7 linked regions of the Xenopus tropicalis genome follow. The protein of the gene in region 1 purifies or fractionates together with the protein of each later gene. This does not show direct contact. Links are inferred from orthologs where the notes say so. Each region holds a gene or a part of one and is shown in the gene's direction. Other genes may lie near its edges.

Region 1 (2,167 bases):
GACATGTCTTGTTCAGCTCCTTAATCTTGCAGATAATACATGATTCTTAATTCCTCCCACAGTTTCCCTAGGCTTCTTTGATGATATTGTTATACCTCCGGAGTCCTTGCAGCAACCAGCAAAATTGTATCTTTTGTGGTAACAGGGACAACTGTTATGGCCCCTCATGTAGCAGAAGTAGTAGCTGTGAGATTCCTTTAGTCTGTTTAGTAAGTGTGTATATTTCCTATCAACATTTCCTTGACAATTTTTGCTCTCAGTGATGAGGCCGAACAGGTATGGGTATGGGAATATGAGACAGAGGAGGGTGCTCATGACCTGTACATGGATGTGGGTGAGGATATCAGATTCCGAATGGTGGATGAGACCTTTATAGACACATCTCCAACCGGACCCAGCTCAGCAGAAGCCTCCTCGTCAACGGCGGTTGCAGAGGAGACTCCTCGCAAAGAGGCACCCTACACATTGGTGGTAAGAAATTCAGTTGGTTCCTATCTGTTTTAGTTGGGATTTCTATTAATTTTGTCCTGCATCGCTACTGAGAGGACATTCTCCTTTTGCACTGGTGGTGCTTCAGCAGCTGGCTACCATAAAGTTGTTCCCTAGTTAGCTAGGAAAGGGTACATGACAACTTTATATAATCTACATAAGGCATGTCCAAACTTGTACTGATAAAAATGATAGATTAAGGGTTGACACACAACTTGAATGTAGTCCCTGTGGTAGCACTCAGGACTGTGACGCCTAAGTAAGGAGAATGGCTCCAACCGATCCCAGAAACAATATCAGAGAATTCTGTCCGGAAGAGTGCAGTGCTTAAAACTGCGCAGAACCCAAAACTTCCAGAACTCTGGTAAAGGACCCAAGACAAAATGCCATCCAGTTAGCCACACTAGGGTGATTGCCTCTGCAGTATGTGGTTATTGCTACACTCAGCCAGTAGAATCATTTAACATTACAAAAAGCTTGGCATAGAGAGGCAGCTGTGAAGCATCAGCTAATGAGATTATGACTGGGGGCCTTTAGGAATGAAGGGGTACAAAAATTTATTATAACCCTTAGAATGATTGTTTTATTTTCCTGTAGGGGTCTATAAGTGAGCCAGGGTTGGGCCTGCTTTCCTGGTGGACCAACAACTGATTGAAAGGAGCTGCCTTGCTTTTCCTGTCCCACATCATTGCTGTACAGAAAGCCATGCCAGTCAGGAATACACAGAGCATCTGACAATGAAAACAGGAGTATTACAGAGTTATGTCCTGTTTAATGAGGAGAAATATTTACTATCTTCCATGAGAATGCACTAGATTTAAGATAACGTTGACTATTGGTTCCCTTTTGTTTGCCGTATAAATTATACTTTCATATAGAGAGTTGAATTAAATGTTATTTAGACACTAGGGGTGGTTAGAGTGCTTAGGTTTTTTAGCGCTAAAACTCGCAAAATTCAAATTATGGTTAAGTGCAAAAAAAAACTCAAATGTAAAACTTCGGCATCTAAAAGCTTGCGAGTTTATGTAGAAGCCAATGAGAGTTGTCCTAGGCAAAGTCAAGACATATTTTCGATTTGAGTTTAAGCTTTTTCTCTGAGTTTGTAAACCTACAAATTCCTACCTACTGCCTTGATAGTAGTAGAGTTTTTCATGTTAATAAATAAGCAAACACTTGAATTTACGAGTTTATTCGAATTAGAAAAAAAAACTCCAATTCACAAACTCAGAAATTGATAAATAAACCCATAAAAGTGGGAACCCAACAGTGCATACATCCCACCTCCGACCTTTAGGTTTTGGTGAACTACAACTCTGTTGTCAGGTTAGCTTTATTAATGGTACTCAAATTTTTTTTTCCAGCATGCAGTTCTACACAATTGTGATTTAATCTGTGTTTCAGGGAGGTGTAGAAATTTAGACAGCAAGCAAACAGCAACCATGACATGAATGGCAGTGTGCTAAGAAGCAGATAAACATAAGCACTTATCACAGCAATCTAATAACAGAGGGTGGGTAAGGTGATTCACTGGATGGATGTAAAAGAAAATTAAAAACACTGTTATGCCTCAGAGTTTGCCTCAACAAAATGGATGTCAAATATCAAGGCCCATTATTTAAACATCTGTTGGTTTGAGAAGAATGGAAACAGGAGCAACAGAACAGGTGAAAATCGAAGA
Region 2 (3,973 bases), on another chromosome or scaffold:
GCTATCCTACAGGCACAGTCCCTTCCCAGAGGCTATTATCCCCCCACTGCTACTATAGGCACCATCTCTCCCTACTATACCTGCTATCCCACAGCCACAGTCCCTTCCCAGAGGCTATTATCCCCCTGCTACTATAGGCACCATCTCTCCCTACTATACCTGCTATCCCACAGCCACAGTCCCTTCCCAGAGGCTATTATCCCCCCACTGCTACTATAGGCACCATCTCTCCCTACTATACCTGCTATCCCACAGCCACAGTCCCTTCCCAAAGGGTATTATCCCCCACTGCTACTATAGGCACCATCTCTCCCTACTATACCTGCTATCCCACAGCCACAGTCCCTTCCCAGAGGCTATTATCCCCCCACTGCTACTATAGGCACCATCTCTCCCTACTATACCTGCTATCCCACAGCCACAGTCCCTTCCCAGAGGCTATTATCCCCCACTGCTACTATAGGCACCATCTCTCCCTACTATACCTGCTATCCCACCGCCACAATCCCTTCCCAGAGGCTATTATCCCCCCACTGCTACTATAGGTACCATCTCCCCCTACTATACCTGCTATCCCACAGCCACAGTCCCTTCCCAGAGGCTATTATCCCCCCACTGCTACTATAGGTACCATCTCCCCCTACTATACCTGCTATCCCACAGCCACAGTCCCTTCCCTACCTACTATATTCAATATATCACAGACTCTTCCCAGAGGCTACTATTTACACTACTTTGCAAAAGCTGAACATGCCCTTTGACAGCATTTTGACGAAGACAACTATGTCAAATTTAGAAAGATTAGTAGTTAAACTGGCAAAAAGTAATTTACTCCAACTTTTTAAAAGAAAATAAAAACAGTGTGGCATAAAAAGAAAAACATTTGATATTTAGACAAATGCCAAATTTATCTTCTCTGAACAGACATATTGTATAATATTTATTTTCTGGGCTCCAGCAGTTGCACCTCACTGATGGTGGCTGTGTAATGCATGATTAGAGCTAACTGCTGATAGTTGCCAGTACATTAGTTTTGTGTTCCCCTTTAAGAACACATAATGATCAATGTACAGCGCCTTTCCACTGAAAGGGCTGTGCTTCATGTTGTGTTTAGTAAGCCTGAACACTAACAAAGGGAAGCTCTACCCTATATAGTTTTACTGCTGAGCAGAACCTAATTAGTTTAGAATCAGTTACACTGCCTGATGCTCGTTAGGACTTGCTGACAAGCACTGCCCCCACTGGCTTATCCCTACTGCACCAGGATTTACTTGTGAATGTCATTGTAACGCAGATTTGGTGAATCAGCCGAGTTCTATGTTTGATTCATCAGCGAGAAATTATATCAGACTGAAGGTAAAATGATTCGCTTAAGTATATGAATTTAATATCATGTCTATAATTCTATTAATCTATGAAAACACCCAAATGTAAGATGTGTTAAAGCACAGATATAAGCACATTTTAGGCCATTATAAAATCAGTTACAGTTGGATCAATGATATTTAGCAGCATTGGCACAGATTGGCATATTGGGGCTTGCATTTATTGACTTCTACTGAAGCTGAATGTTGAAATGTTTTTGAATGTATTATTTAATAATGAGTTAAGCTTGTTTGCCTAAAGTGGGCCTATGAAAATAAATGCCTTTTAATATTTTATTGTTCAACTTGGGGTCCTTCAGCTGCTGGAAGCTGCAACTCTTAGTGCTCTTAGCTGGGTGTGGTTGGGGCATGACAGGGAATGCTTTAGGGCAGGACATAGAGAGCTTCTAGTCCTCATCATGTCCTTTGTAGAAGTACAAATAACAATCATTAAAAATGTATATTCTTATATACATTCTTAGTTTTTACATTTACAGTGTTGCCTGTGGCCCTTCTAGTTTTGTTCAACTAGAACATTCAATGTCAGCTGATGACTTTCAGGTGATTATAGCAGCTGTACCTGGGGGCCTATTTAGTGTGCTGAGTAAAATGGCAAATGTCACCATCTGAAAGCCAGACTTTATGCCATTATTCTATGCAAGCTACGTAATTACATTGTTTTTTACACAGCGAAGCCTCGCAATGAATGACGAATTTTGCTGCCATTTTTGCACAGCATAATAAGTAGGCATCTTAGTGTGCTGTAATTGGTGCAAACCCCAGCAGGTGTAATTCATTGCTATCAATTATTTTAATGAGAATGTTGTAAGAATACACCTGAGCTTCACTAAAAAAAGTATATAATTTTAAAGGGAAAGCTATGTTGATGAACAAAAGCTGGAGGGCTGCAATTTGGGCATACCTAATTTTTATAGGGTCATAGCGCCTTAACACAGTGAGGTGAAACATCTCAAAAAAAATGGTACGGCCGACCCATCAAATCAAATGGTACGGTCTGACCCCCCCTCAAATCAAATGGTACGGTCCGCCCCCTCCAAAAAATGGTACGGTCCAACCCCCCCCTCGAAACAAATGGTACGGTCCAACCCCCCTCCAAAAAATGGTACGGTCTGATCCCCCCTTCAAAAAAATAGCATGGTACGGCCTGATCCCCCGTCGGAAAAAAGTGGTACGGTCCGACACCCTCTCCAAAAAAATGGTACGGTCCGATCTCCCCCCCAAAAAAATGGTACGGTCCGACCCCCCCCTTCAAATAAAATGGTGCGGGCTGACCCCCCTCCAAAAAAATGGTACGGTCCAACCAAAATTTTTTGGAATGGGGGTCGGACTGTACCATTTTTTGGAGGGGGGCGGGGTTGGACGTACCATTTTTTTGAGAGGGAGGGATGGACCGTGACATTTTTGGAGGGGGGGTCGGACCATACCAATTTTAAGAGCGGGGGAGGTCGGACCGTACCATTTTATTTTGGAGGGGTAGGACCGTACCATTTTTTAGAGGGGATGGGGACGGACCGTACCATTTTCAAGAGCGGGGGGGTCGGACCGTACCATTTTTTAGAGCGGGGAGTCGGGCCATACCATTTTTAGAGGGGGAGGGGACCGTACCAATTTTTTTCGAGTGGGGGGGGATGGACGTACCAGTCGGACCGTACCATTTTTAAGAGCGGGGGTCGGACCGCACCAATTTTTATGGGGGGATAGGACCGTACCATTTTATTTTGGGTGGGGGGGGGAGTCGGACCGTACCATTTTTTGAGTGGGGGGGATGGACCGTACCATTTTTAAGAGCGGGGGGGGTTTCGGTCCGTACCATTTTTTTCGAGTGGGGGGATGAACGTACCATTTTTAAGAGTGGGGGGTCGGACCGTACCATTTTTAAGAGTGGGGGGGGGGGTTCGGACTGTACCATTTTTTGAGTGGGAGGGGGGTCGGACCGTACCATTTTTAAGAGCGGGGGGGTGATGGACCGTACCATTTTTAAGAGCGGGGGGGGTCGGACCGTACCATGTTTAAGAGCGGGGGGGTTCGGACTGTACCATTTTTTGAGTGGGGGGGGGGATGGACCGTACCATTTTTAAGAGCGGGGGGGTCGGACCGTACCATTTTTAAGAGCGGGGGGGGGGGTTCGGACTGTACCATTTTTAAGAGCGGGGGGGTCGGACCGTACCATTTTTTGAGGGGGGGGGTGGACCGTACCATTTTTAAAAGCGGGGGGGGGGGGGTCGGACCGTACCATTTTTTGAGTGGGGGGGGGGATGGACCGTACCATTTTTGAGTGGGGGGGGGATGGACCGTACCATTTTTAAGAGCGGGGGGGGGTTCGGACCGTACCATTTTTTGAGTGGGGGGGGATGACCGTACCATTTTTAAGAGCGGGGGGGGGTTCGGACCGTACCATTTTTTGAGTGAGGGGGATGGACCGTACCATTTTTAAGAGCGGGGGTGGTTCGGACTGTACCATTTTTGAGTGGGGGGGGGTGGACCGTACCATTTTTAAGAGCGGGGGGGTCGGACCGTACCATTTTTAAGAGCGGGGGGGTTCGGACTGTACCATTTTTAAGAGCGGGGGGGGTCGGACCGTACCATTT
Region 3 (4,267 bases), on another chromosome or scaffold:
GGGACCCCAGGGGCCCACCGGAAAACCTTAGACCAGTGATCCCCAACCAGTGGCTCGTGAGCAACATGTTGCTCCCAACCATCTCTGATGTTGCTCCCAGTGGCCTCAAAGTAGGTGCCTGTTATTACATTTGTAGCATAGAGACTAGTTTTGAAAATACAGAGGCATCATTTTAATCCACTTCATCGGAGTGTGGCTCACAAGTAAAAAAGGTTGGGGATCCCTGCCTTAGACTATAGGCCCACTCTCCGAACTATTTTTTCTCACCCACCCTCTTTATTCTCCTAGTCTTTTTTATTTACACTATTTCTCCTCTCTGTTCCCATTCAGAAATAGGGAATGGCCATGAAGCAGGCCAAATGGTCAGGAGCAGGAGGGCCCACCGACACCTGGGCCCACCGGGAGTTTTCCTGGTATCCTGGGGGGCCAGTCCGACTGCCTGGGCTGCTGCACTTTTTGAAAAAGAGAAACACCATTCCTGTGTAGCAAGTAAGGGACTAGCACAGTGATCCCATTTAATGTTACTCCCTGAGGCCTTAATGCAGGCACTTATTTTTGAATTCCTGGCTTGGAGGCAAAAAATGAAAGTGTATAAAAATAATTACAATATAATGAACTGTTGCCCTGCACTGGTACAGCTGGTGTGTTTGCCTCAGAAAGTCTATAGTTTATATAAACAAAGGTGCTGTGTAGCCATGGGGGCAGCCATTCAAAGGAGAAAAGGCACAGGCACATAGCAGATAACAGATAAAACCCCATTATATTCTACAGAGCTTATCTGTTATCTGCTATGTAACCTGTGCCTTTTCTCCTTTTTCAAGGTTGAATGGCTGCCCCCATGGCTACACAGCAGCTTATTATATATAAATTATAGTAGAGTTACTGTAGCAAACACACAACTTTACCTGTGCAGGGCAACAGTACATTATATTTTAAATACTTTAATACACTTTCATTTTTGGCGTTACTGTTCCTTTAACCGCGCTGCCAACCTACAGGCATTAGTGACAGGGAGGAATGCAGAGTGGAAATTGTTTTCTCAATACGCCAGTATTTGGCACAATCTCTGAGGTTTTTCAAGTTTGTTTTGTTCCCCAACTCATTTTAAAGTTACTAACAGGTAAAAAAGTTAGGGTATCCCTACACTAGAACCACTTTGCTGTGTTCTCCAACTTGCCCCCCCCAAAACCCCCTATGGTTTTGCGCCAGAGTTTGGGTAAACTTAGCACAATCATTCCACAACTTTTTTTAACCATTGATGACAGTCGTCGTAGTGTTAATCAATATTTTACTATCCATGTGATCTCACAGCGCTGCCCAAAACTATATATATATATATTCCCTTCAGCACTAGGGAGGCACTCCGCAGCTCAGTGACGCCTCTGGCCCCGCCCATTCCGGAAGTCGCTGCGCTGCTTGGCGTTGTTGCCATCTCGCCAGTGTATTTCCGGGTTCCTTTGCTGCAGAGCAGAAATGCAGGAAGACGAATTGGAACGGTACGAAGTATATGCGAAATAGAAATAAAATTGCATGCTGCTGCTTGTGAGCTGTCTATGTTTTACCCCAGTGAACGCTTTATAGTGCAGAGACTGCTTGGGTAGTGGGTGAAGGATAAATAATAATATATACATGAATTGTTATGGGACAGCTGTTGCTGGGGAAGTGGGGACTGATTGGGTGCAGTTACTTTTGGGTCCTTGTTAGGAATACATAGGGGGAGATTTACTAATCCACGAATCCGAAACCGGAATGGCAAAAATTCAGATTGGAAAGAAAATTTTGCCGTCTTTTCGTCGCCGCCGCAACTTTTTCGTATTTGTCGCGACTTTTTCGTCGCCGACACGACATTATCGTATTTTGCGCAACTATTTCGTCGCCGTTGCAATTTTTTCGTATTGAGCGATTGTAAACGGCGGAAAAACCAATCCGATTTTTTCGCGACGGCGACGAAAAAGTTGCAGAAAATATACGAAAAAGTCGCAAAAATACCGATCATTGCGAAAAAAACGCATGCGGATGCCTTCGGACCGTTCGTGGATTAGTAAATCTGCCCCATAGTGTTGATCCGTAGGCTATAGAGAGCTCTTACTGGTACTGAAAGCCAGCTGGCCAGACTGTGGTTCATGTATATCACTGAAAGGCAACCAATAGCCCTTTTTGTATTGTGGAATTACAGCTTCCAGGGTTGGTTGTTGCAGTGGGAGTTAAAGTTAAACTACATCAATAAAGCAGCAATTAGAGATGTGATTTTGGTTTTCACTTTTTTGTAAAAAAAAAAAAAAATACTGGCCTTTCTATGTAATTATCTTTCTTCCCTATTAATAACATTGACATCAAGCATTATTTTGACCGGCTGGGTTGGTATAATACCAAGCAGCCATAGATGGAATTAGGATTGTGCACATTTACATGTCTCTGGGAAGCACTGTGCATGGTTCAGGATTTGTAGGTCCCATAGATTTTGCTTAGAACACTCTCAGCCCACTTATAATAAAATAGTAAACCAATAAAAGCAGTTTGGTCATGCAGTTTTTGGTGCCGTTGCCATATTAATACATATTCAGTGTACTTGCCTGGAGACCAAAAGAAGAGACTGCTAGTTGGAGGCAGATTTGTTGAAATAATGGAATTTTTAAAAAAAAAACGTAAAGTATACTAATGTTTAATAATGTTAATAGGCCTTATTTCATGCGTTTGATACATTTTTTGTCCTCTTTAAATTGGTGTAAAAGAACTTTCCCCCCAAAACATGTGTGTAGATTTTTATTTATGTAGCAATACTTATATATGTTGGGCTGTACAGCCGATATTGTTAATGCTAATTTCTTGCTCTTTTATGCCGATGCAGGAAAGCTGTAGAAGAGCTTCTCAAAGAAGCAAAACGTGGCAAGATCCGAGCTGAAACTATGGGACCAATGGGCTGGTAAGTGGTTTCTTTATACAATTTTTAATGATATATGTGCGTGTAACACTATTGTATGGTTAGTAACTGTGTTCATATTAAAAATACTGGTGTGTTTATAAAACTTGAAAAAACTGTTCTCTTCCTTTAAAAAAGGAAATGGGTAGTCAATGGAGGGAGGTGCAAACCCCTCATACAGTTATTATAATCATCATTATTATTTTCACTTAAAATACACTGGCCCTGTGTACTATTCTTGTGAGGCCTGTCCTGTGCCTATGTGCAGCATAGTAAAATGTGTAATTCAATGTGAAATGACAGGTAGGCTTCTCTTGCACTTAAACACAGAGTAGGGCCACTGCAAAGATTCAGAGAACAGCAATAAGATGACTGCATGGCGCTAATAAGGATAATACCCCAAGCCAGTCATAGGTAAGTGATTATAATCTAGGAATCCCAAACCCGAAATATGCTAATTAGGAAGAGAAAGGGGGAAAAATTGCAGCGTGCGCAGCAAAAAATTTTTCCCCCTACCATATAATCCTTACAAACATGGGCGTCCGCAGAAAATTTTCCAAGGGGGGGCAAGTAAGCTAGCATCATCCTGCAACAGACAAATATATATATATATATATATTTAAAAATATATATTTTTTTTTTGCAGGATGATACTAGGGGAGGCTAAAGATGGCCCATACACAGTCCGACCTACAGCTAATGTGACACTTAGTGGATTCGCTGCTGGCGTAAAAAGTTAACCTCCCAACTACCTCTTGCCGTTCCCACTGACTACCAGGGATACTGTACAAAAGTGCGGGTGGGGGTGCTTTTTTTTTTTTACCCTAAAATGTTTAGGATGTAAAAGTATTCATACGCGCACGCGGGATCTGCAAACATTTGTGTTTGTGATCAGTTAGCTTAAAGGGGTAGTTCGCATTCAATTCACTTTTATTTTTAATGGTTTTTCAGTTATTTAGCTTTTTGTTCAGCAGCTCTCCATTTGGTATTTCAGCAGCTATCTGGTTGCTAGGGTCTTATTTACCCTAGCAACCAGGTAGTGGTTTAAACAAGAGATGGGAATATGAATAGTTAAGGGGCCTACTTAGAAAAATAAGTAATACAAAATTATAATAATAATAAAATTGTAGCCTCACAGAGCAATATTTTTTGGCCCCCATTTGAAATCTGTATAGAGGCAGAAGAGAAAGGCAAATTATTCAAAAAAATTAATTAGAAAGACCAATTGCAAAGTTGCTAGGAATAGGCCATTTTATAACATACTAAAGGTTAACTTAAAAGTGAACCACCCCTTTAGATGTGTTTATGTTAGTTTTATAGCAAGAAAGGCAGTGGGTACTGACTCCC
Region 4 (4,143 bases), about 1.8 Mb from region 1:
CAGGAGTCCTGAGCCCCCGCTTACTATGGGGGTTAACAGGGATTTCTCCCTTAAATGGTGTGCCTCCACCCAGGGATGGTGTTGTGTAACTATAATCCACCCCCTGGGAACTTAATAGGTTGCTATGCCCCTCTTGGGACCCACGTACTCCTGGTGTAATACACTCCCTCTTGGAGTTATTCCTTACCAGCTTGGTAGTGGTCCTCTGGGCTTGGCAGATACTCACAGCAGACAACGGTGCAACGGTATATTAGGCAGATTCCTCTCCAGGAGTGGCACATATTATTGATACAGTGTGCAGGGCATATCCCCTTACTACTCATTGAGACTCTTTCTGTTGGACTACTCCACGGTACTCACGCCACGTGCTCCCCTCTAGGTGACCTTCCCGGTACTCGCGTCATGAGGCACCCCCTCCTGGAGCCCTCCCCGGTACTCACGCTAGAAGCCTCACCACAGGGACCCACACCGGTACTCACACTAAGCATCCTCAAATCCAAGCTCCTGGACTAGTGGTGACCTGGTGCACCTTCCCTAGCCACTTGTGGCCCTGCACTCCAGCAGATGTAACGCTGGGAGGTCTTAACCTCACTACCACTCCTGGAGGGGTCATGTCTGCCCATTTTAACCTATGGTGTCCTACATATCACTCCTGGAGTGATCTATTACCAAACTTCTATCTAAACTGTACCTGGGGTACTCCTGCCTGGAGCAGCCCCCAAAATGTCTGCCACTCAGCACATGGCTGCAACCCCTTATATGGGCCTATGCACCACCCTGTGGCCATAACCCTAACTACAGGTATACTCCCTGTTAACTATTTAGCACCCAGTCATCCCAATGTCCCTGATCACCACCCTGTGGCCTATCCTAGGGGTGTCTATCCTAAGGGCCCATTTTTGGTAAACCCCTACATGTATAACAGAAAAACTATGTTAGTGATTTCTCACCATTAACCATGGGAGTGCCAGGCATGAAAAGCTAAGCAGAAGCCCACGATTCTGCTTATAAAGTATATAGTCACATTAATGACCATTAGGTGGGGCTATTCCATACTAGTATAACTACACTATCCTGTCCCTCAGCTACATATATACCCATGCTACAGTCAACATACCCCAAATGCAAACAACATTAAATGTTTATTCTTGCACTAACCATAGTATTCATTATTGCCTATGTGTATATCTATACAAACCATCTCTAACCTTAATAAGCTGTCAGCACGCCAGCCAGCACCGGTCAGTCTGTATAACGAACACGAAACGCTCTCGCAAGTCGCGTCCTGTCTCCATGGGAACCGTACAAGGAAGGAAGTTGAGGGTTTAACGTTTCCGCTTCCTGTCTGTGGCCGTTCGTGACGCCGCAACGAACTTATCCCAGTGTGTGTGTGGGAAAAGCGAGTAGGTTCTGCTCGGTACCTAGAGCCGCTGCCATGTCGGACAACGAGGACAAGTGAGTCGCTTTGTATTGTTACTATAATAAAGGGTGGGGCGGTGATATTCACTGGGCAGGCCGACGGTACGGGCTGGGGGCTTCCTAGCTGCTAGTGCCATGTGGGAATGGCTCATACAGTGTCCCTTCATCTCCTTCCGCCCGGTACTAACACTGTAAGGGAACACTGGCCCCCGATTACAAGAGGGCGGTGTAATTGTTTATAATATATAATATACTGCCGAGTTTAGTCATGAAATCTCATTGTTTATGGACAAATTTTCCAGGTCATGAACCCACAAAGCTGCATAACGGTGTTATTCCCTGTACTGAATTATAAGCACACTCATTTACTAACGGGGGGCAAGTTGGTACCTAGGCGCTAATCCAGCAGGTCAGTGATTATGTTCTGCCATCAGCAGTTACAATAATGACAGCAAATGGTCGCCATGGGTTACTTACCAGCTGCTAATTTGCCCACTATTAGTAAATGAACCCCAAGGATGTTTATGCCAGAATCAAGAATATCTATTTCCAGACTATAATAGTAAATTCGCTTTCATACAGGTGGGGAGACGCTGCAGGGCAGATATGTAGCAGCCATTGCACCAGAATGATTCACTAAAATGCTGATCTTTCTGTGAGGAGTTACAGCTGAGTATTTCTGCCCCTTGGCACCATGTATATGTCTCAGTTCTATGGCCCAGCCACTCTCTGCGTTGCTTCTCATACATCAAATACTGTTTTATTTAAATGTACTCCTAATTATCACACTGCTTTTGGAGCCATGAGGCAGAATGGCAATCAGGTGTGTAGGAACAGGAGCAGGTTCCAATCTCATGGTGCCATATTGATAATAACTTCATCTGACATCCCAGTAATATAAAAAAAAAAAAAAAATTTTTATATATATATATATATATATATATATATATATATATATATATATATATATATATATATATATATATATAGGGAATGAGCAAAGAGCAACCTGTTTGTATGTGCCCATATGTGTGTCAAATACATATATCCCTGCAAACTGGTATCACCTCTGTCCCGGCATTTTTTCTTGATGGCACCATAGGTAATATAACAAATAAATATTTTTGATCTGTTAAATAGCAGCAGCACTTTTATGTACATTGAAATATAAGAGGGCAACATTTAACAGACCTTTTATTCAGATAAAGCTCTACGAAACTGTACCCAGGCCAGTACTCCCTACTTACAAGGGCTGATGCTCACATATCATAGTCATGGCTGTTGCTTGTAATTTGACCAGAAGAAAAAAAGCACAAGGGGTCGCTGTTAGAACTCTGTGCCCAGATTTCTTTCTAACAGAGTGGTCATTGTATAATGGAGGGGGCTCTATTTTCTGTTTTGGATGCTACTGTGACAGTGACTAAATTTGATTAAAACAATTGACTTTGGTGATATATTTAAGATAATTTATAGCAGTGTTGCATATCACTCTTTTATTTTTAATAATCTATAAGGTATTTGTCCATTCCTCTCCCTCCCCCCTGTTTTTTGGTGAATTTAAGTCCAAATGACCAGAGTTTATGGTGTATTTCCCCAGCAGAGGCCTTTTCCATAGTTACAGTAGGACACAACCTGTACAAGGCCTTATTTCCTAACAGCAGTCACATTGAAAAGTTCTACTTTGCATTTTATTACATTGATTATTTATCAACATTCTAGAAAAATATACAGTCCCATGTATTTTATTGCAAGTTACAGGACTGGCTACCATGGATGATACAGTAAGTATCAGTTATCATTATCAACTCAAAGTCTATTTTAAGCACCAAACCCTGACAATGTAGTACAGAAGGGAGGAAATTATGCCAAGAGTTGTTCACTTATGTATTTGTTTTGGTGTGCAGCTTTGATGGAGATGATTTTGATGATGTCGAAGAGGATGAGGGACTTGATGATTTGGACAATGCAGAAGAGGTAGGTGGTGTTCTTTTGTTCCACAACAGCCTGGTTTTTCTTTACTGAAATTGCAATAGTCCAAATAATTATTTATACTAAAAAGCTCAGCGCAAAATGGAAACTTCTAGGTGTTTCATATATATATATATGTATATGTTTTGTTAATACAAAATTTGTGTTCTAATATCTTACTGTTAATGTGGGTAAAGTAGAACTAGAAGACACAGACATTCAATGGACTACAACCAGAAGTTTTCCTTTGTGGTCTCTATGTAACAATTGGTGGGTTTTGTATTGCAGGAAGACCAGGAGAATGTGGCAATTCTTCCAGCTGGGGAAGGCCAGCAGGCCAACCAGAAACGCATCACCACCAATTACATGACAAAATATGAGCGGGCCCGTGTGCTGGGAACTCGTGCCCTGCAAATAGCGTAAGTAAAAGATTATATGTGATGGAAAGAGCACATTTCACCCAGCACTTTCCATGTGGACTAATGTGAACACACCTTCATTGTTACAATAAGAGCCTGTTCCTAAATATCACTTTAAATGAGAAGGAACAGCTAAATCACTAGGGGGTGCCACATGTTAGGCAGCCCCCAGTAATTGTAATTGCTTACCTGATACCCCCAACCGGTACTCCTGCACTGACTCGGGTAAATGCAGGCGAGCAATTATCTTCCTTCCTTCTCCTTTTGCAGTAATCCTGGGGCCCATGCATGCGTTAAAGTTTGGCTTTTCACTCTACTACGCATGCAAGAAGGATGA
Region 5 (4,056 bases), on another chromosome or scaffold:
TCTACAGTGTACACCTCAAAAGGATGAGAGGCTCCAAAACATATTCCCAGACCCACCACTTCTGGCATTCAGGCAGCCCCCAAACCTAAAACAACTAATAACAAGAAGTGCCTTAATTCAACCCAACAAAAAAGGAACTTATCCCTGTGGCAAAAAAACAATGCAAAACCTGCCCACACATCTGTAATTCAGATTTCAGACACATTAGAGGAATACAACATCCATGGTCAGTACAACTGTTCTTCTTCCAATATGGTGTACTTAATACAGTGCACTAGATACTGAACAGGAGGACTGTATATAGGAGAGACTGGTCAAAGCCTGAGAAAAAGAAATACACACCACCGTTTTACTATAAGAACGCGATTTCTGATGGTGGCCCTGGTTCTATCAATTAGATGCTCTGCTGTACAGTGCTTCGTACATAAGTACTGTAATGCTTATACCATGTGGGGTTGATTCTCAGCACATGAAAAACCACAGGCCAAGAATCAGTTCCTTGGGCATCAGCCTCCTACTTTTCCAGGTCAAACCACTGCGTTGGCCCAGGTGCAAGCATACAATATGAATATCCACTCTAAAATGCTAAATTTACAGTTTCTTTGCTGATATCTGCCATGTGTGCCTGCACCCAGGCCAGCCCAATAGTTTCTGGTGCAGGCAAGGTAGGAGGCTGTCAGCGGAGGGACTGATTATCTGCATGCGGGTTTCCATGCGGCATCAGCCGTATATAAATAAGAATATAAATAGTTTATATAAACAAGCTTCTATGCAGCCATGGAGGAAGCACTTCAAGATAAAAAAAGGAGAAAGGCACAGGATACACAGCAGATACCAGATTAACACGAATATACCACCACTGCATTTTATTACAGAGCATATATGTTATATGATATCCAAACCTGTGCCTTTTCTCCTTTTCAACTTAAATGGCTGCAAGACTTCTAGTTCTGCTTTTGCTTTGCAAAAATTGCTCTTCTCGTGTTATCAGTTTTTGGGAGCTGGACTTAAATGTAGAAATTTAGAATTTCGAGTTAAGTTTTTCAACGCAATTTCCACTACCCACCTTTAGTTCACACCGTTTCATTCAAGTTACAAATGGAACTGTCGCAGATTTCTAGGGCGCCCATTAAAGACGTCATCACCGGGCGGAAACGTGCGCAATAAGATGTAATGTAGGTGAATGCGAGGCTAGGGCAAACGCGTGGTGATCATTCTGCTTAGGCAGCGGTACTGGCGTCTGGAGGATGAAGTGGTTGATGCGAAGTTTGAGCTAATCTGTTAGCAGCAATGTTGCTATTTTGCCCGACGTGTGGGAATGTGCTGATCGTGGAGGAGGGACAGAAGTGCTACAGGTTTGCCTGTAATACCTGCCCTTATGTGCACAACGTTAATCGCAAGGTATAATGAGGTCTTCTGAAGTGATAGAAATATGGTTTTAAGCGGCGTAAGTGTAGTCCTGGTGGCTACGAAGCCTTTTTATGCCTTGTGTATGCCAAGCATTGCTAATTGGCAGATAACATTACATTAGCAACAGTACAATGCGCTGATTTTTAAGTGCGGGATGAATCTGTATAAATTGCTAACAACATATTCTGGTAATGGCTGGGGCTTTTAGCTCTAAATTGTGTAAGTTTAATAGACTTACAAAGTTAAAAAGGTGATCTTATCATTTATGTTTTATGATAAATACTAAATAAAATGCATAGTAAATAGATACACCTGCTACCCCCACCCCCCAAAATGAACATTTGAATATACGCATATGACCTGTGATTTTTTTTTTTGTCTGATTTTTGCTAGTTTGTGGCCAAGGTCTTGCTTTTCTTCCTTTTTGGCTATTACCCTTCTGGGAACAAATCATCATAGAAGGGCACACTTTTAACCCTAAATTCACAATACCCAGAACACCACAGCACAATCACTTCCCCTGTGGAAGTGCATTACCTTGCTAAAGCACACTAATATCATAAATATATATTATAAAATGTGTCCTAACACTTTCATAAATAATATCTAAATAAATACATTTGAATATATATTAATACATAGGGAGTTCTGACCGCTAGATACTTATTTGACAAACTTTAAGGGGAAATACTGTAACCCTATCTTCACCACTTCTGGCACCTTTGACAGTGTTACACTCCACGAGTGGCGCTTACCTGATGGCACGGGACAAACCTGAATCACTCCGCAGTGGTATTGGGAGAGACTGGGTACCTGGTACTTATTAGCGCAGTGCCTCCACCTAGTGGGATCCTGGAGTGCACCTACGGGTGGCCCCACTAGGAACAATAATAATGCACACACAGTACTTGATAAACGAAATAACTTTTATCTGAAATAAAGGGGAAACTAATACAGATAACACTCCTATCCAAGTGGCAATAAGGGCCTTACTAACTAGCTTTGCCAGCGCAAGCTGTCTCACTAACTATGTACAGTCCTTTAGCTCAGTCCCAAAAGAAACAGTTTATATAGTTTAAATCTTCAAGCGCTCCTTTATTACTTTCACTTTAATGATACTCACTCCAGGAATCTCTTTGGGTGATTCACACAGAATCTTCAGGCGAGTCCAGCACTCACAGCCATGCAGTGCGACTACTAGCCCCTTTAGCTACTCAGATGGGATTCCCCTGCAGGTGTTTGTTCCTCCAGTCAGGACTCCTCACAGGATCTCTGTCTCTCCAGGTACAGGGTCTGCCTTCCCTGTACCAGCCTGTTCCAAAGGCCAGCTTCTTCTTGTGCTGCTCCTCTCTCTGAGCCCACGTGCAGCTTCTGGAGTTCTGGGGCTTTTTCTCTCCTCCCACTGACTTCCTCTCCCAGGCTGCTTTGCAACTTCCGGCAGCCCTGAGCTTGCTGTTCACCTTGTTGCTAGGCAGCAGCTCACAGCACAAAGTCTCAGTGCCAGCTCCCCTACAGGGAACAGCAGCAGGAGGGGGGTAAGTGCAGGGACCCAGCACTACCTCCCTACATTCTCCCCCTGCTTGAATGGGCAACGTCCTCGCTTGCCCTTTCTCACCATTCTTATTCTCCCTAACCTTTGGGGGAGATACACAGGGGAAAGCTTCCTCACTAACTGCCCTGACACTTCCCCTGCCTGAAGGTCTACGCATTCCCAGGCCCAGTCTCTTACTTTTATTGGGGGTGCCAGAGTGCTCAGAGACCATCCTCGTGCCACAGGATTTCTCTTCACAAATATTCACTTCACATGGGAAAGATGTCACATATACATCAGTGAAGTCTTCATTCCGTCCCCAGTCACAGGTGTGGGAAGTATGACCGTACCAACCACAGGTGTAACACCTCACCTGATTACGTCTCTTCCGATACCTCTTTTGGGGTGGCTTCCTCACAGCACAGCCATATGAAATAACTTCTGTAGCTGCAGCATTTTCACGTTGCGTCGGACAGTGTGGGGATATATGGCCCAACCGGCCACAACGGAAGCACTTTGGTGGGTCACCGCGAGCACCACCTGCTTTAGGAAATGAAGAGGGTCTAGACATAGTTGACCCCTCTTCCTTTTCGGACACACGAGCCTTGAGCTGAGCAACCTGTTTTTTTAACTCGGCAATCTCTTCCGCTTTCTGCGAATCACTGGATGTCCTTTCAGAACCACGTCTTTTCTTCTCTCGTCGCAGAACATTAACTTCCTCCTTTCGGATCTCACGGATCAGCTCCTGATAAGTTGGTTCTTTCTTTCCTCTGTAGAAAGATCTCAACATCACAGCTGTGGGGTCCATAGATAAAGCCCCTCTGAATAACTGTTGTAGCCTCATAGAATCAACACGATCTGTAGCAATGATTCTTCGGCAAACAAGTAATTTTAGCATTTGCTGCAGTCGCTTCAAGTACTCAGACAGATTCTCTTTTTCTTTCTGCATGCAAGACTGAAATTTGTACAACATTTCAATTTCATCTTCCACCGGTCCATATGTATCTTCCAGTACGTCTATCAACTTCTCAGGACCATCTTGTGGGCACACCTCTCGTTGGAGCTTAATTAGGTCCAATGCAGGCCCTCGCAAACTCTCCTGGATCTTGCGACAT
Region 6 (4,085 bases), on another chromosome or scaffold:
AGCACACATCCACTTTGTCCCTAAGGTGGAAGCAAACAACAGGAAGGTGCCACTCCTCTCCCAACACTATACCAAAGTCAGGCAGGATGTGGTCACTATACCTTCTGACCAATAGCACACATGTTAATGAACTCACTTAGATACATTCCCTTCTGCCCAGCAACTAAGGGAACTGAACCTGTAGGGATTTAAAGCCATAGGGACCATTTAACCCTATGGGTCCCTACATGTACATGGGCAGTTGACTCAATAAGGCCAAATACTCTTGACAGTGGCATAACTACCTATACAGCAGACCCCATGACCATGGGGGGCGGAAGCTGGGCCATGAGGTCCACTGTGTGTAGTTTGCCATCCATAGTCACTTCTAAATGTCCACTTTGCTGGCTCTCATTTGAGCTTAAGCGTGCATGCCGGGCCCCTCCGAAGATATTTTTTTTGTGGGGGTGGGGCCAGACCACTCAAGGTACGCTACTGTCTCTTGACCAAAAACATTGCACTAAGGGACATTGTCACCATTTGTTGGCCACTGTACCCAACTTTCTGCAGTTCAAATGAATACATTAGAAATTGATTAAATGATTTATTGTATTTGTCCTGTCAGCATTTGTACTTAGCAAAACTTTTAATTAGTCAAACAGCCATAAAATGATTCTGAGGCTATAATTCTCCCAGACAATCTGGTGCATGAGATGAGCTTACATACATGTACTGTACATGCTACACCAGTCCCGCTTTATAAAAACGTATAAAATATAAAAATATTTCAGCCACTGAAAAACATGTAACTAGAAGTTAATGGGCTTCATCGAATCACATAGCATTGAGTTCGAAAAGCATAAGTTCGCAAGCTGCAGAGCACTATCTATGGCGAGCAGTAACCTACAGACTCTTCATTAGTCTAAATTGATAGCACCCTGACTTACCTTGATAAAATATCCCACTGTGGACCCCGGCGCAGCCTTTGTCCCACCTCCCGTTACTAGAGACGCGGTGTAGTAAAAACCTGCTTCCTGACGGTGTCTGCCCTTTTCATTGGTCAAGTCTGGCTGCCTAGCAACTAAAGATGCGAAGATGACGCTAATAAACCATCGCCCATATTTCTTCACACTCTCAAAGCGCATGCTCCTATGCATGACGTATTTCCGCAGCAAATGCTACACAGACGACTTGCTGTATTTGGAAATTGTAAAGCGTGAAAATGTTTGGTTAGCGACAACGTAAATCGCGAAGTCCTTTAGTTAAAAGACGTAGTACCTTTGATTTGAAAATATATTGTCCGCTCGGAAGTTGTTCCGTTCCAAACGCTCCCTTTTGCCCGAAAGCAAAATGGCTGCCGATACTTTCTGCTGATCGAGCTGCAGCGCTAGTGCTACCTGAACTGGGGGTGTTGGGGCGACAGTCGTTAAGGGGGACACGTGGGCAAAGGATAGGGACTCAAATAAACATGTCAGAAGCGAAGGTGAAGCAAGAAGGTGGGGAGGCAGCGGAGATAGAGAACAGGTAAGCGGTGCAAAGCGGAGTATGTCTTTGGCGTTTTGGCTATGTTGGTTTACTTTTTTCAATTACATAAGGTTTAAATGAAAGTCCCTTGCATTAGAAAGACACATTGATCAATATAATCATATTGGCAGCATATGCTTACAGTTATAGCAGAAAACTAAAGTTATTTATTAGTTGTGTCACTTGCTGTCACGCATTGACTTGCTCAATGTCTGTCCCAGGTTATATCCAGCCTTTCTTCAGAGCTGTGGTCCCAGACCAGGCATTAGAACCCTACTAGTATTTTGAAAAGCTTCATGGCAATCTCAGCTATACCTTATCTAAAGGACATGACTACACCTACACTGTGGCTGACTGATGAGACATGAACACATTTGCTAAAAGATGTGGGGTTTTTATCTGCAGGAAACCTAAAACTGTAGAGGCCAGTGTATGCCTATAGACACTTTTGCTAAACATCAGCATACTAAATAAGTCTTGTGTTGAGAATGTAATCTTTTTTTATTTTAGTTTAAAAATCCATATTTTTAACATTTATCAAATGTTTTGTAGTTATAAAGCACTAAAATAAAAGTGTTTTGTTTTTCCCCACTATTGTTTAAATGAGAATAATGAGCTGTGTATAAAGCAAATCCACTCTCTCCTAAGATGTAGCCTTTGTTAGACTTTGTGATTAGGAGCAGCCAGTGCTTATCTGTATACTGTTGATTTGTTTTACCACAAATGATGATTTGGCAGAACCAGGAAACTAGAAAATTTAAGCTGTCAGTGTCTTTGTTTAGTGCAAGAAATAACTAAAAGCCATACATTACTTGGAAAAACTATATTTATTGTTTAGCTCATGGTAAAAAGAAATATACTGCCCCTTAAAGGAAACTTTTAAGGACTGTCTTATAGTAAAAAGGGACAATAAAAATATGTGGTTATGATAAAGTTACACCGAATTAAAAAAAAAACAAGTGTGTTTATGCCAGGCCCGGTCTGACAGTCTATGGATTCTGGCCAATGCCAGAGTGGCTGCTGCAAGATGCCATAGAACGTCACTATGTATTGCACCTGTGGGGGGCTGTTTGGGCCTTTGTACATGAAATTCCTCTTTTGAATCTTAGTCCGGACCTGTAGACTGCCTCTGGTGTATGTAGTACAGCATGTAGTACCAAAAAACATCCAACATCTGTCTACCAATGGAGGGTGGCTGTTATTACAGCTGTCCAAAAAAAAAAAAAGCAGCAATGGCTTCGGTTCTTTAAACATCCTCTTTGTTGTTAGTGTGATTTTTAGTCACATAATACTCCGTTCCAGCCGTTTGTTTCTTGCAGTTGTTGGCTCACATAAGGGGTAGCAGTTCTTTCATACTGGACATGATCTAAATATTCTGCATGTGTTGTGCATTCCTTCCACTAACATCAGGGGCCAAAATTATTACAAATAAAATGTTAGAGAAAGTCAACAGTCTCATAAACACTTAACACAGTTACACTTAAGCTTTTTCTAGTTCTTTAATGGTATTTTTTTCTATATATTTAGGGTTATTGAGCTGTGCCAGCAGTTTCCTCATGGTATCACTGACCAAGTTATTCAAAATGAGATGCCTCACATTGAAGCCAAACAAAGGGCCATGTGCATCAACCGACTGCTGGCAACTGTAAGTTCTTTTATATTTGTTTTCTTTTTGTCTTACATAATGTATGTTAAAACTATGGCTATATGGCCCCTTGTTTAGATTGAGATACTGAGGGGCAGTTCATTTTGCAAGCTAGGAAATACAGAAGTAAATCACCAAAACTACAAAAACAATAATGGCAGTAGTGACAACGTTTTAACTTTATTATTGCCTAATATTACTTGCATTATCATTTTGAATTTAGCCCCTTGCATGTCATAAATATTTGATGTTGCCCCTCTGTATGTTCCCAATAGTTATACACTGCAGAATAGATAAATCAAAGGCTTCTTTACTGTGACAAATGCCATATAGGGTTAAACATTAAAAAGTTTGAACATTTTTACAATCCATTTCAGTAGAATGACTTTAGGCCAGAACATGTAATACCAGAGAGCAGTTCTAGGATATTCTTTTTATCAACAATTTTTACCAACAAGATTGCTCGTTGCCTGTATGGAAACAGCACAAATATCTTTTGATACCTATTGATAATCAAGTATGGAATACACTCCCCAGCATCCCCATACACTCCCCAGCATCCTGCAGCTGCCCACCCCAGCATTCTCCAGCTCCCCCCCCAGCATTCTCCAGCTCCCCCCCCAGCATTCTCCAGCTCCCCCCACCAGCATTCTCCAGCTCCCCCCACCAGCATTCTCCAGCTCCCCCCACCAGCATCCTCCAGCTCCCCCACCAGCATCCTCCAGCTCCCCCCACCAGCATCCTCCAGCTCCCCCCACCAGCATCCTCCAGCTCCCCCCACCAGCATCCTCCAGCTCCCCCCACCAGCATCCTCCAGCTCCCCCCCAGCATGCTCCAGCTCCCCCCCAGCATGCTCCAGCTCCCCCCCAGCATTCTCTAGCTCCCCCCAGCATTCTCTAGCTCCCCCCAGCATTCTCTAGCTCCCCCCAGCATTCTC
Region 7 (4,046 bases), on another chromosome or scaffold:
TCAATTAGCAATAATCACGCCTCAGTTTGACCTCATTGGCTATGATACTGCCACTGCGCAAAGCTGATTGGGCCCCTGCCTAAGTTAAGGGGCCCCTTGTGGGACGGGCTTCTTTCAAGTGTGGCTACGGCTGCCCAGCCGATGCAATGGATTGTGGGAATCCATATGCTAACAAAGCCCTTTCCAAGGGCCGCCTTCCCGTCGCGCCGTAACCAAAGCACCCTTCTCCAGCGCAACACCAGGCAAGCGAGCCAACATCTGCCTTTTAACCAAGCACATCAGTCTCCTGAGAGACTGTCAAAAATTGCCAGTGCTGACTATATTTCAAGTCATCACGGCGGGGTATTGGGAAAAGTTTTCAATTAGCAATAATCACGCCTCGGTTTGACCTCATTGGCTATAATACTGCCACTGCGCAAAGCTGATTGGGCCCCTGCCTAAGTTAAGGGGCCCCTTGTGGGACGGGCTTCTTTCAAGTGTGGCTACGGCTGCCCAGCCGATGCAATGGATTGTGGGAATCCATATGCTAACGAAGCCCTTTCAAAGGGCCGCCTTCCCGTCGCGCCGTAACCAAAGCACCCTTCTCCAGCGCAACACCAGGCAAGCGAGCCAACATCTGCCTTTTAACCAAGCACATCAGTCTCCTGAGAGACTGTCAGAAATTGCCAGTGCTGACTATATTTCAAGTCATCACGGCGGGGTATTGGGAAAAGTTTTCAATTAGCAATAATGTGAGGTGCGGCTGAGGGGGTTGAAATCACCAAAGCTTGTAGCTTAGCAGTAAAATGTGGATGAAGTTTACCAGAGTGCACGTTACATGGCTGTGGCACCCTGGGAAATTAAGAATATTCCTAGCCCTGTATGAAATTAAAAAAATAAATGTGTTTTTGAAAAATGGATTTTAATGCAGGATTCTGTTAGAGAAACTATTGTTATTATTAATTGGTTTGGAAAAAAAATGTTATTGTTCTTTCAGAAATCACACTGGGTACAAAAAGAAGTAGGAAAAGTGGTTGAAGAACTACACCATTACTATCTATATTCAGCCTGGTGAGGTTTCATTCTACTGGGAGACTGCCTTAGTTTGGGACGTTCAAAGCACTCAGGGACGCATCATACACTTGAATACAAATAACGCTTGCAAAAACGAAGTTGAATCCTACACGTGTTTCAGGAGGGTGAACTCTTCCACTTCCTGTTTCAGCGGTTCCGCAGCCTCCGTTTGGTTCCTGAAAGGGTCACGTGGCGTGACATCATCAGCTGCTCGACTTTTCGCTCGGCTTTTAATTGACCAACGTGAAAAACAGCATGGAAGTGTAAGAAATGTTATTTATAAATGTGTCTGTTTTAAAACGCTTCGAAATATTTAAGAGTTTTCTGCCATTTGCTTTCGAGCTGCTAATGAACGTGTGCGAGTGAAAGCTGGGTAGGCAGCAGCATGGTGTTACCTGAGAAATCATTCCAAAACTTCCGGATTGTATACGTGCTTAGCTGTATGTGGTTTCGATGTGTGTTTTTATGTGTTTTGCTGATTGACAGTAAGTACTTTACAATTACATATATAGTGGAACAGAGTAAAGGTTTATATCAGGTGATATTTACAGGGGGCTTATAAGCATTTTCTTTTAAAGAAACGCTTACCTTTGCACAAACTACCGTCTATGTAAAGATTGCACATTTCTAAACATATCTCTAACATAACCTCCAATATTAACAAAAATGCAAGCTAACCCCTGCATGCAGAGAGGGTTGCCGACCCCTGCATGCTTCTGGCTGATGCCGCCTACATAATCTTATGGGGGCAGTGCCAGGTTTGTGCAATGTCAGATTATTGTTGTTTTCATGGAAGTGTGCAGTCATGTGATTCTTTTTCTCTGGGGAATTGAAGCCCTACCTCTCCCTTTGCTTTCTGAGCACCCAAACTGAGAGAAGAGAACACAATAAGAAAAGTACTAATTAATAACATGCAGTATGTTGTTGAAGGCAAGATAGTAGACAAAGCTGACCTTATACTTTATTCAATTGGGTTTTTGTGTATTGGGTGAACCTTCCCTTTATTCATGCTTTTGATGTGCGTATGAGACACAGCTTAGAGCAGGGGTCCCCCACCTTTCTTACTTGTGAGCCACAGTCAAATGTAAAAAGACTTGGAGAGCAACACAAGCACCATAAAAGTTCATGGAGGTGCCAAATAAGGGTGAAGATTGGCTATTTGGCAGCCTCTATGCGCCCTATCAGCTTACAGGGGGCTTTATTTGGTAGGAAATCTTGTTTTTATTGAATCAAAACTTGCCCCCAAGTCAGGAATTCAAAAATAACTACCTGGTTTGGGGGCACTGAGAGCAACATCCAAGGGGTTGGTGAGCAACATGTTGCCCCCGAGCCACTGTTTGGGGATCACTGGCTTAGAGAGTGTACCTAGGTTGTGACTTAATTGGTTCCACATTATTCTGTCTGGTTGTAACAACAAGCCTTCATATCTGCGTTTAAGTAGTGCCACATTTGACTGCATTTTTCCAGACAGCATTCAGCATTTTTATGCACTTACATGCATAACATATGTGTTCTGATGTATTCAGCAAGCATTTAAAGGAGAAGGATAGTTATTTTGGCATTTTACTGCCAATATATTTGTCACATTAGGGCCACCTAGAACACTATATTTATTCTGCAGAAAGATTTACTTGAGTAAAGAGCCCTAAAATCTCCATGCGATTGTTTAAGATTGCAGCTACCATTTTAGCTTGGTCTTCCTAGTTTCCTGCTGCAGTTCTAGAGGCTGGTAGCTTAATCTAGGAAGACCAAGATAAAATGGTAGCTGCAATCTTAAACAATCGCAGGGAGATTCTAGGGCTCTTTACTCAAGTATAGTAAAGCTTTCTGCAGAATAAATATAGTGTTCTAGGACTAGGAGAGTTAGTCAGATACCCAAGAACATGTTTACAAAAACGGTGACAAGAAATCATGTGTTTTTTTGATAGAGGACTCGGTGCAGCTTTTCTGTAAGTGCTTATGGCCGTATTTACATACTTTTCTGATAAAGCTTACTTAGTTTTTACCTTTTCTTCTCCTTTAAATAGATGCACTTTCAGACACCTGATTTTGAGAGACCTTCAGAGTAGATCAAATAAGCAGAAGCTGACAAAGTGTCTTTTGTGGGCATTTTATTAAGCATTCAACTTGACTTCGAGTGTGATGTAGTTAGCAGTATTCTAAGACAGTTTGCATTTTGTCTTTTTATGTTTTTTTATTATTTTACTTTTTTATTCTGCAGGTCTCAGATTTGGAATTTTAACTACTATTTTGTTGCTATAATTCAATAACCCTACCAGCCAAGCAGCAGTTAGGAAGTCAGACTGGCATGTAAATAGAAGAGGGCCTTATTAGAAAATTAAGGACAAATGATGTGCCAAAAAAATCTTACCTATGGTAACTATGTAATAGCGTTAACTTTGGGTCTAGTAACTCACAGCAACCAACCTAAGGAAACTGTATCCCAAAGGTCTTTCTGTGGCTAGTGCTATCGTCTGGTTAAACTCTGATCTCAGCAATTATTTGCTTGAGGTCCATTTATTGGTTAGTTAAATTCAGTGCTCACAGAGTTGAATGAAAATGGACCTATGAATCACAAACAAGCTCAATACCTTTCTGTTGCTAAATAAGAGTTTTATAGGCATTTGTTGGCCTTGTACAAATGATCCAGCCATAATGATTGATTAAACAAATGACATATAGAATTGTTTATTTGTTTTGCCTTATGGTGAATTACTTTTCCTTCCCTTTTTTTTTAGAAAAGATGCAAATGCAGCGCTCCTGAGCAATTATGAGGTTGGTAAAACGGAATATTTAAACATGTTTGTGGTAGATTATGTGTATTCATTATTATCACATTGTAATTGCAGTGCTTGTGGGGAAATGTAATAAAAGCTATAAATGGCTTAAAATGCACAATTAAGAACAAACATTTGCATGTGCTATGTAAAATTATTCAGTAGACAGTTATATAGTGATCTATTGTGTACTGTTATACTGTTATATGTGTAATA

The links.
Region 2: the proteins of polr3h (region 1) and polr3g purify together in Homo sapiens (affinity purification with mass spectrometry; 5 studies listed by BioGRID and IntAct, with this or other methods). This does not show direct contact. The link is inferred for Xenopus tropicalis from reciprocal best matches to the Homo sapiens genes POLR3H and POLR3G.
Region 3: the proteins of polr3h (region 1) and uncharacterized protein LOC496835 purify together in Homo sapiens (affinity purification with mass spectrometry; 6 studies listed by BioGRID and IntAct, with this or other methods). This does not show direct contact. The link is inferred for Xenopus tropicalis from reciprocal best matches to the Homo sapiens genes POLR3H and POLR1D.
Region 4: the proteins of polr3h (region 1) and polr2f purify together in Homo sapiens (affinity purification with mass spectrometry; 4 studies listed by BioGRID and IntAct, with this or other methods). This does not show direct contact. The link is inferred for Xenopus tropicalis from reciprocal best matches to the Homo sapiens genes POLR3H and POLR2F.
Region 5: the proteins of polr3h (region 1) and polr3k purify together in Homo sapiens (affinity purification with mass spectrometry; 3 studies listed by BioGRID and IntAct, with this or other methods). This does not show direct contact. The link is inferred for Xenopus tropicalis from reciprocal best matches to the Homo sapiens genes POLR3H and POLR3K.
Region 6: the proteins of polr3h (region 1) and polr3f purify together in Homo sapiens (affinity purification with mass spectrometry; 4 studies listed by BioGRID and IntAct, with this or other methods). This does not show direct contact. The link is inferred for Xenopus tropicalis from reciprocal best matches to the Homo sapiens genes POLR3H and POLR3F.
Region 7: the proteins of polr3h (region 1) and crcp purify together in Homo sapiens (affinity purification with mass spectrometry; 4 studies listed by BioGRID and IntAct, with this or other methods). This does not show direct contact. The link is inferred for Xenopus tropicalis from reciprocal best matches to the Homo sapiens genes POLR3H and CRCP.

Annotation. Positions count from the first base shown.
Region 1 is NC_030680.2:120,321,876-120,324,042, forward strand, and holds the end of polr3h (DNA-directed RNA polymerase III subunit RPC8), read left to right. Parts: intron 1-62; coding exon 63-126; intron 127-260; coding exon 261-471; intron 472-1,086; coding exon 1,087-1,140; 3' UTR 1,141-1,667; downstream 1,668-2,167.
Region 2 is NC_030677.2:178,954,538-178,958,510, reverse strand, and holds the start of polr3g (DNA-directed RNA polymerase III subunit RPC7), read left to right. Parts: upstream 1-1,173; 5' UTR 1,174-1,356; intron 1,357-3,973. UniProt on the Homo sapiens protein: DNA-dependent RNA polymerase catalyzes the transcription of DNA into RNA using the four ribonucleoside triphosphates as substrates.
Region 3 is NC_030678.2:155,277,705-155,281,971, reverse strand, and holds the start of uncharacterized protein LOC496835, read left to right. Parts: upstream 1-1,467; 5' UTR 1,468-1,473; coding exon 1,474-1,496; intron 1,497-2,848; coding exon 2,849-2,923; intron 2,924-4,267.
Region 4 is NC_030680.2:122,152,786-122,156,928, forward strand, and holds the start of polr2f (DNA-directed RNA polymerases I, II, and III subunit RPABC2), read left to right. Parts: upstream 1-1,343; 5' UTR 1,344-1,435; coding exon 1,436-1,455; intron 1,456-3,323; coding exon 3,324-3,393; intron 3,394-3,675; coding exon 3,676-3,806; intron 3,807-4,143. UniProt on the Homo sapiens protein: DNA-dependent RNA polymerase catalyzes the transcription of DNA into RNA using the four ribonucleoside triphosphates as substrates.
Region 5 is NC_030685.2:40,341,144-40,345,199, forward strand, and holds the start of polr3k (DNA-directed RNA polymerase III subunit RPC10), read left to right. Parts: upstream 1-1,256; 5' UTR 1,257-1,290; coding exon 1,291-1,401; intron 1,402-4,056. Other genes in the region: snrnp25 (U11/U12 small nuclear ribonucleoprotein 25 kDa protein), read right to left, coding at 1,067-1,087. UniProt on the Homo sapiens protein: Core component of RNA polymerase III (Pol III) which synthesizes small non-coding RNAs using the four ribonucleoside triphosphates as substrates. Can mediate Pol I proofreading of the nascent RNA transcript.
Region 6 is NC_030681.2:38,387,732-38,391,816, forward strand, and holds the start of polr3f (DNA-directed RNA polymerase III subunit RPC6), read left to right. Parts: upstream 1-1,285; 5' UTR 1,286-1,447; coding exon 1,448-1,503; intron 1,504-3,030; coding exon 3,031-3,148; intron 3,149-4,085. UniProt on the Homo sapiens protein: DNA-dependent RNA polymerase catalyzes the transcription of DNA into RNA using the four ribonucleoside triphosphates as substrates.
Region 7 is NC_030678.2:97,817,164-97,821,209, reverse strand, and holds the start of crcp (DNA-directed RNA polymerase III subunit RPC9), read left to right. Parts: upstream 1-1,246; 5' UTR 1,247-1,308; coding exon 1,309-1,316; intron 1,317-1,340; exon of another isoform or gene 1,341-1,538; intron 1,539-3,791; coding exon 3,792-3,828; intron 3,829-4,046. UniProt on the Homo sapiens protein: DNA-dependent RNA polymerase catalyzes the transcription of DNA into RNA using the four ribonucleoside triphosphates as substrates.